Coturnix japonica: one gene and its partner. The protein of the gene in region 2 purifies or fractionates together with the protein of the main gene of each other region. This does not show direct contact. Links are inferred from orthologs where the notes say so. Each region holds a gene or a part of one and is shown on either strand. Other genes may lie near its edges. The genes, in order: GNG2 and GNB5.

Region 1 (4,484 bases), on a different chromosome or scaffold from region 2:
GGGAATATCCTGTGCTGGGATGGGTTATTTTTCCCCATTGCTTGTGTTGCATGGCATTCATTGCTCAGGATGCTTGATGAGCTCTGAAGGCACAGGGAGCCGGGTTATAACCTCTCGTACAGACCCAGGAAGAGCAGCTCCCGGGGAGCATTGCAGAAGGCACAGAGCTAACTTTCCTTCCCATGCGAGGAGGGCACTAAGCCTGTTAAATCGAGACAGCAGCTCAGCTCAAGGAGCTGATCCTCTGAGCACAGTGTGCTGCCTCAAACCATGCACAGGCACCGCGGTGCTGCTCCTTCCCCAGCTGAAGCACAGCCAGACCGGCATCAGTGCCCCCACGCACACGGCTGGGGGTGGAGGGGGCCCCTCACGGTGCCCTTTAAACCCAGCGTGGCTGCCACTCCCTGCATCTCACCCAGCTGCTGCTGCCCAAGAGCTGTCAGCGCTGTAACCAACACGCGGCAAGGTGGGGAGGTGTAAGGTCTGGTGTAAGGTTTGGTGCGATGCCATTCCAGGGCTATTTTCTTTTTGTTATTTTTTTTTTCCCCACTCAGTATGTGGAGAAAACAATTTTGGCTGCACGAAATGGAGGAGATGCGTTATTTCAGACCTCATCCTTTGCACATGTAGCTCACACGGGGACACTCTGCATTGCACCCCATGGCCCAGGCTGCAGCATCCCGCTGCCTCCCCAGCCATCCCACCCGCTGCCGCCCAGAGGGATGAAACAGTCAGGAAAGAAGCTGAGAAGCAAGAAAATGACCCCCACAGCCCGGTTCCTTTGCTCTCCTCTCCCACTTGTGCGTGCCCTGAGCACACGCTCTGATCCCACTCCAGGCACAAGGAGACGTCCTGCTGAGCACCGACACAACTCATGCCAAAAATGATGCTTTTCCCACGGCCATTCCCTGATTCCTAACCCCAAAATGGAGATGGGAAGGCCCAGATATGACCCCTTGTGGGAACCACTGTGGGATTGGGCTCCATAGCCTCCCAGCAGAGCTGATGGGGCCAGGCAGCATTTGTAGGGCTGCGGGTTGGGTGCCGCCTCTCCAGTCCCAATTGCTATGGAAACTGCGTGCGCGGCGCTGCCTTCCCTCCTCCCATGACTCACGGGTTTTCAAAGGGAGAAGTGGTGCCTCGGCCGCTGCTGTTTTGAGGCCAAAGCAGCAAAATCCAGGCGGGTGCATCTGTGGGGCTGGATGGAAGGCAGCGCCGTGCTGTGCCAAGTTGGCAACGTCGCCACGCACTGAGCTCCAGCGTTGGGTGGTGGAGGTGTTGGCTGGGTTGGGGATGGGCAACAATCCTCAACAATTGGGTTTCTCCAGCATCTCTACCCGCATTGCTCTGGGATGCCATACCCTGACCCCAAAGAGCACAATGCCAGCCCCTGGGGCTGGGGATCCAGATGGAACTGAGATTGCCATGCTTGTGTCACAGGTGGCAGCTGGCAGCATGCTGCTGGTAAGCAAGCAAAGGGATAGAAATGGCAAGAAAAGCCCTAAAATGGGTGTGAAGGGAACAGCCTGAGCCCATAGGCCACGGTATGGGGTGGGAAAACAACGCCCAGAGCACCTCTGAGCATCCTCCCAGAGAAAGACTTCACCCCGGGGCTTTCCTGGCAATAATTAATTGAGTCATATTTCAATCCAGCCAGAGGCCATATGGCAGAAAAGAGGATTAGCATCGCAGGCTCCAGCTGCATGGAGGGAAATCCAGTTAGAAGGAAAAATCCCCCGTGCTTGGGCCCAGCCTGGTGCCAAGGGGACATGCCCCGGCCCTGGGCAGTGCAATGGGGATCTGGGGTCTGTCCAGTGGGAAACAAACAATAGGGCAAACCCACAAGCACTGCACACAAGGGTACAATGACAGGGGATAATGCTGCCCTACATTCCCACCCCATTACCATTGGGGCAGCACACCCTGAGTTTGTCAGGGACTCATTAGCAATAAGTGGGGAGCTAAAATTCAAGTTTTTCCTTCATTATAAATCCATTTTCCTGCACGAAGGCTGAAGTTTGGGGCTGGATTCCTCTCCCTCTGGAACGCGGAACCTCGGACCATTTTTATGATTCCATTCTATGATTCCCCAGTCCCTGGGCACAGCAGGGAGCTGCCTGGGCACACGGTGCCTTTGCCATGGTTACTTTTCCTTAGACCTCTCAGAGCTGTGCTGCTTCCTGCTGCATGGCCACCACGGGGAAAATCCGAACTCCCATTGAAATCCCAGCCATTGAGAGAACGGGGGTGGTGGGGTGGGGCAGCAGGTGGGGATGGGGCGCCCCAAGTACCCCCTCCCTAAGCCACGGTGGGGGCAGATCCATCCCAGCAAGAGAGATTTGGGGCAGGGAAAGCCCTTTGCAGGGGGTGGGAGAGGGAGAGAAAAAATAAAAAGGAGAACACTACGTCTCATTCATCCCGAGAAAAAGCCGTTCATGTGATGGCAAATCAGTTGATTAAGTGAGGATCAGCCCCCGTAGAGCTTTGCTGGGGGCTGAGCGCCGGGGCAGGCACCATCCCTGCAGCACCCATTGGTGTTGGGGCTATGGGCGGTGCAGGGTGTCGGGGTCCCCATGGGGTAAGCAGCAAAGGCAGTGACGGGGTGATGCAAGCCGGGGGCTGGGGTGACAGGATCGCCTTTGGAGGGGTAATAAGCAGGGAGCGCTTTGGGGCCCGAGGGATGCTGCTGCCATGGGATCGCCCCGATGCGCGCTGTTCGTGCGCGCCCGGCGCCCCCCAGCCCCGCTCCCATCGCCCCCCCGGCTCTCCCCGTACCTGCGGGCGGTGCTGCCCCGGCTCTCCCCGCGGGGCGGCGGCGGTCGGACGGACGGACGGAGGGATGGATGGAGGGATGGATGGAGAAGGGATGCGGGCTGGAGGCAGAGGGGCGGTCAGCAGCAGCCCGGAGCGGCGAGTCCCCACCCAGCTTTGTCTGCGCTCATCCCTCTGCCTACAGGAAGCGGCTCGGCCCCGACTTCCTCCTCCTCCTCCTCCTCCTCCCGCTGCTGCTGCTCTCCCTCCTGTCCCCTCCCCTTCTCCTCACCCCGAGCCCCCTCTCCTCCCCGATCCCCGTTTTCTGCAGCCCTGGGCCTGCCCTTCTCCAGCCTCCTGCCCCACCTCCCTCCCCCTGCCCCACACCAACCCCACTGTGCGCCCACCCCGCTCCCTGCAGCCCCATCACACAACCACATCCTTCCCCCAAACCACCCCTGCAACCCATCCCACCTTCCTGCATCCCCATAACACTCCCTGCATCCCCTCACACCCCCTTCGTCCCTGACACACCCCTGCACCTTATCACACACCCACACCTTATCACATCCCTTTCCCTGCCATCACCCCCTTTTGAAACCCCATCACACCACATTCTGCACCCCACCAACCTCCAGCCCTTCCCTCTATTGCCCCCACACCTCCCTGGATCCCCTCTTTCCCCCCTCCGAGGGCTCCTCAGCCCCCCCAAGCCCTTTCCAACCCCTTAAGTCCCACACCAGCCCCTACTTGTACCTCCAGCAATTCCTTATTTTACATACTTTTTTTTAGTATTTAAGCCCTGATTCCCAGATTTTAGGATTAGGATCTGTTTTAGGGTTTGGGGAGCTGGTCGGCTTCTTTAGAAGATCATTCATTCCCTCCATCCACACCCCAAAATGACCTCCAACACCCTGGATGTGGGTTCACCTCAGGTGCCTCGGGCTGAGTTTTGGGATGCACTTGATGAGCTCTCTTGTTAAACCCACAACCCCCGTTATTAACCCATAACCCCTGTTATTAAACCCATAACCCCCATTATTAATCCATAACCCTCTTTATCAAACCCATAACAGGGTAGTGGGTTTCACATAGTCTCCCCATGCACATTTCCTGGAAGGAGAGGCAATGAGCTGCGGGAAAACGGGCTTCTCCATTTCCACAGTGATGCCCCATGGCTGATTGCTGAGGTTGAATAACCACTGGTCAAGGCTGGGGCTGCCCCCAGCAGCACCCAATGGTGCCCCCCAGCAGGAGACCCCAATGAGAAGCACCCAAGCAGCAAAGCTAAACTAGCACTGCCGCGGCGTTTTTGCCTTTTTAAAGTGCGTTTCTTTTCTCTTGGCTTCCAAATGGTTCACATTCCAAGCGCTTCTAAGTTGGATGTTGGGTGGGAATCATTATTTTTTTTTAACTTGGAATCAGCTTTTCCCTATGGCTGATTGTGGTTGTAACCAGTTCCACGCCGACCCACTCGGCTGGGTTTGATGCACGCAGTTATTGCCATCCCTCCTGCCAGGGAGGTGGCATTTGCACGTCGTCAAGCTGCTGATCTCAAATCCTCAGCCAGCCGGGCTGCCAGAATGATGACAGGAGATGCCAAGTCTGGAATGGAGGCAACTGGAGACGGAATGTGAGCTGCTCTGTGACAGCAAGAACTTGTGGAAGTGTCAAACTGGCAGCTGGGACGTGAGAGCATCCCAAAGAGTGCGCTGGTGTGAGGCTGCATGGGG
Region 2 (2,488 bases):
AGAGAAAAGTCCATTTATAATTAACTAAACTAGTTCTATAATAAAATATGGTACTTTCAAAACAGAATCAGAACCATTAACTTTTACCACGAGTTCATGTTTGCTATGTGTTTGAGCAGGTTATGTTCTACCTAGTTGTGCTGATCTGTGGGTTCGGTGTCACTCCTTTGTAGAGTAGCGAATATCTCATTTGCAGGGAGCCTTCTTTATGCTGTTTTTGCAGTCCAGGTCATCGGTCTTCATTGGACTCTGCACACAGGATCTCATGTTAAGCCCAGATCTGCAGAAAGAGAGTTGAACAGTCATTTATGACCCTCACTGTTCTATCAGATACTGAATTAAAGATTGCCAAGGCAGTCAGGTTAGTGGCACAGGATACCAGCAGCCGTGATACCATTTAAGAAGCAACTTCAAAATTTCCTTGGCTTCAACAGCTCTGCAGGCCCTGTGAGGCAATGTTTCCATCTGAATTTTCAGCTCACACTTTACGCTGCAGGATTTTATAGCTTTGTTAGTTGTCACAGAACCACTTGAGTTGGAAGGGACCTTTAAAGGCCATCCAGTCCAACTCCCCTGCACTGAACAGGGACACCTACAGCTCCATCAGGTGCTCAGAGCTCCTCCAGACTGACCTTGGGTGTCACTCCAGGAGTGGGGCACCGCCACATCTCTGGGAAACCTGTGCCAGTGCCTCACTGCCCTTACTGTAAAAACGTCTTCCTTGTATCCAATCTACATCTTCTGTCTTTTAGTTTGAAACCATTTTCCCTTGTCCTATCACAACAGATACTGCTAAAGAGTCTGTCCCCTTCTTATAACCCCACCTTAGATAGTGAAAAGAACCTGGAGAGTCAATGTTCCTGTCCTAATTGCTGTCCGTGCCCCTTTCTATTAACACAAACCAAGCAGCAAGGTGCCCCCAGTGCTTACTCGCAGAGTGTGGTCCCAGGACCCCGAGCAGAACGCCGTCCCATCAGGAGAGACCCGCAGGGTGCTGACACGGTTCTCATGTCCAAACAGAATAGATACACGGGATCCTTTCAGCACATCCCAGACATTTATGGTGTAATCGTTATACCCTGCAAACAGCAGGCGGCCTACAAAGAGAATTACATTTCAAAAAATGAATTCTTAAGTGGGCAACACATCATTACTGCAGCAAGGGGAAGCAGGCAGCAGCCCAGCTTTCCCATGCTGACCCACACAAACTACCATGCTGTTATCCCCGCTAAATACTAAAATGATTAGAATATTAATTAGTTGAAGGCCAACAAACGCCAATATTTCTTTGCTCTGACTTTGCAGGAGTTGAATACAAACAGCTGAACAATCAGGAGAAAAATTAGTGATTCTTTGTCCCCAGTGGGACCAGCAGTGGTGCCCATGACCGGCACAGAGCCATCTCCATCTGTCAGTGTGCTGGGAGCAGGGCAGCTCACCCCATGCTCAGCCCTACAGGAGCCCCCTGGAGCAGGGCTGGGAGAAGGCAGAGAAGACTCAAGCTCACATCTCTGGATCTGCAGTGAAAAATGGCTCTGCCATCGTGCTCTTTTAACATACTTTGAGCTTCTATTAATCATTTATTATCCTTTAATAAACTATTTATGTAAGTGTGCGTTATAGTCAAGTTATATTTCATGTTTCCTTTGAAGCATTTTTAATAATCATTGTGAAATTCTAGCCCGGCTGTAGTCAATAGCAAAATATTTTCTGCTTTCGGCATGACCAGGAGAATACTTTTCATTGCTGCAAGGTCAGATGAGCGACATAAAGAGCAATTTTAATTTACAGAGGAAGGTTTTGGGATTTAATATTGGTTTTCCAATGCTTTGTCAAGTTAAACTGACAACATTTGACAGCCTGCCACCATACCAAACTAATACCACCACCTCCCAAGTTCAGTTCTCACCACTGAGAGAGAAATCCACACTGGATGCTCCAAAAATGATGCTCTCCTTGGAATAAATTGCTACTTCTCTGTCTGCGCGAAGGTCGTATAAACGGCACTAAGATCAAAACAGAAACAACGTATGTGTCACAGTAAAGACTGGAGTCAATGGCCACTACTTTTCATTGAAAGAATGTGATGGGGAAGGCCTGCAGCCTAGCAGGTATCACAGAAAACAGCTCCTTGGATTCCTTCCTTCTGTTCTTTCTGTCCACTACAACTGGGACTCCTCTGGAAGCTAACAAGGATGTGAACAAAACCAGGCAGCTTTGTATAAACTGAGTACAGAGCTTGCTTGTCCAAACTTCTCCTGTACATCTCCTTCCTGTCCTGATATAAATAAAGAGAGCAGTTTGGTATTGGTATTTGGACCATAGATACCTCCTGGAATTTCTCCCACTCCCAGCCTGCTCTCTTGCTTCCCCACTGTGGTTTCCTGTGTACCCTGCTGCCTACTTACTGGCTGTTGGTGCACTCTCTAAGATGAACACTTCAGCCATACCAGGAGCTTCAGAGACACAGAATTAAACCTCCAGAGCT

Evidence for each region.
Region 1: the proteins of GNB5 (region 2) and GNG2 purify together in Homo sapiens (affinity purification with western blotting; 4 studies listed by BioGRID and IntAct, with this or other methods). This does not show direct contact. The link is inferred for Coturnix japonica from reciprocal best matches to the Homo sapiens genes GNB5 and GNG2.

Annotation. Positions count from the first base shown.
Region 1 is NC_029520.1:52,684,933-52,689,416, reverse strand, and holds the start of GNG2 (guanine nucleotide-binding protein G(I)/G(S)/G(O) subunit gamma-2), read right to left. Parts: upstream 2,995-4,484; 5' UTR 2,776-2,994; intron 1-2,775. UniProt on the Homo sapiens protein: Guanine nucleotide-binding proteins (G proteins) are involved as a modulator or transducer in various transmembrane signaling systems.
Region 2 is NC_029525.1:7,776,679-7,779,166, reverse strand, and holds part of GNB5 (guanine nucleotide-binding protein subunit beta-5), read right to left. Parts: intron 2,007-2,488; coding exon 1,910-2,006; intron 1,098-1,909; coding exon 931-1,097; intron 281-930; coding exon 269-280; 3' UTR 1-268. UniProt on the Homo sapiens protein: Enhances GTPase-activating protein (GAP) activity of regulator of G protein signaling (RGS) proteins, such as RGS7 and RGS9, hence involved in the termination of the signaling initiated by the G protein coupled receptors (GPCRs) by accelerating the GTP hydrolysis on the G-alpha subunits, thereby promoting their inactivation.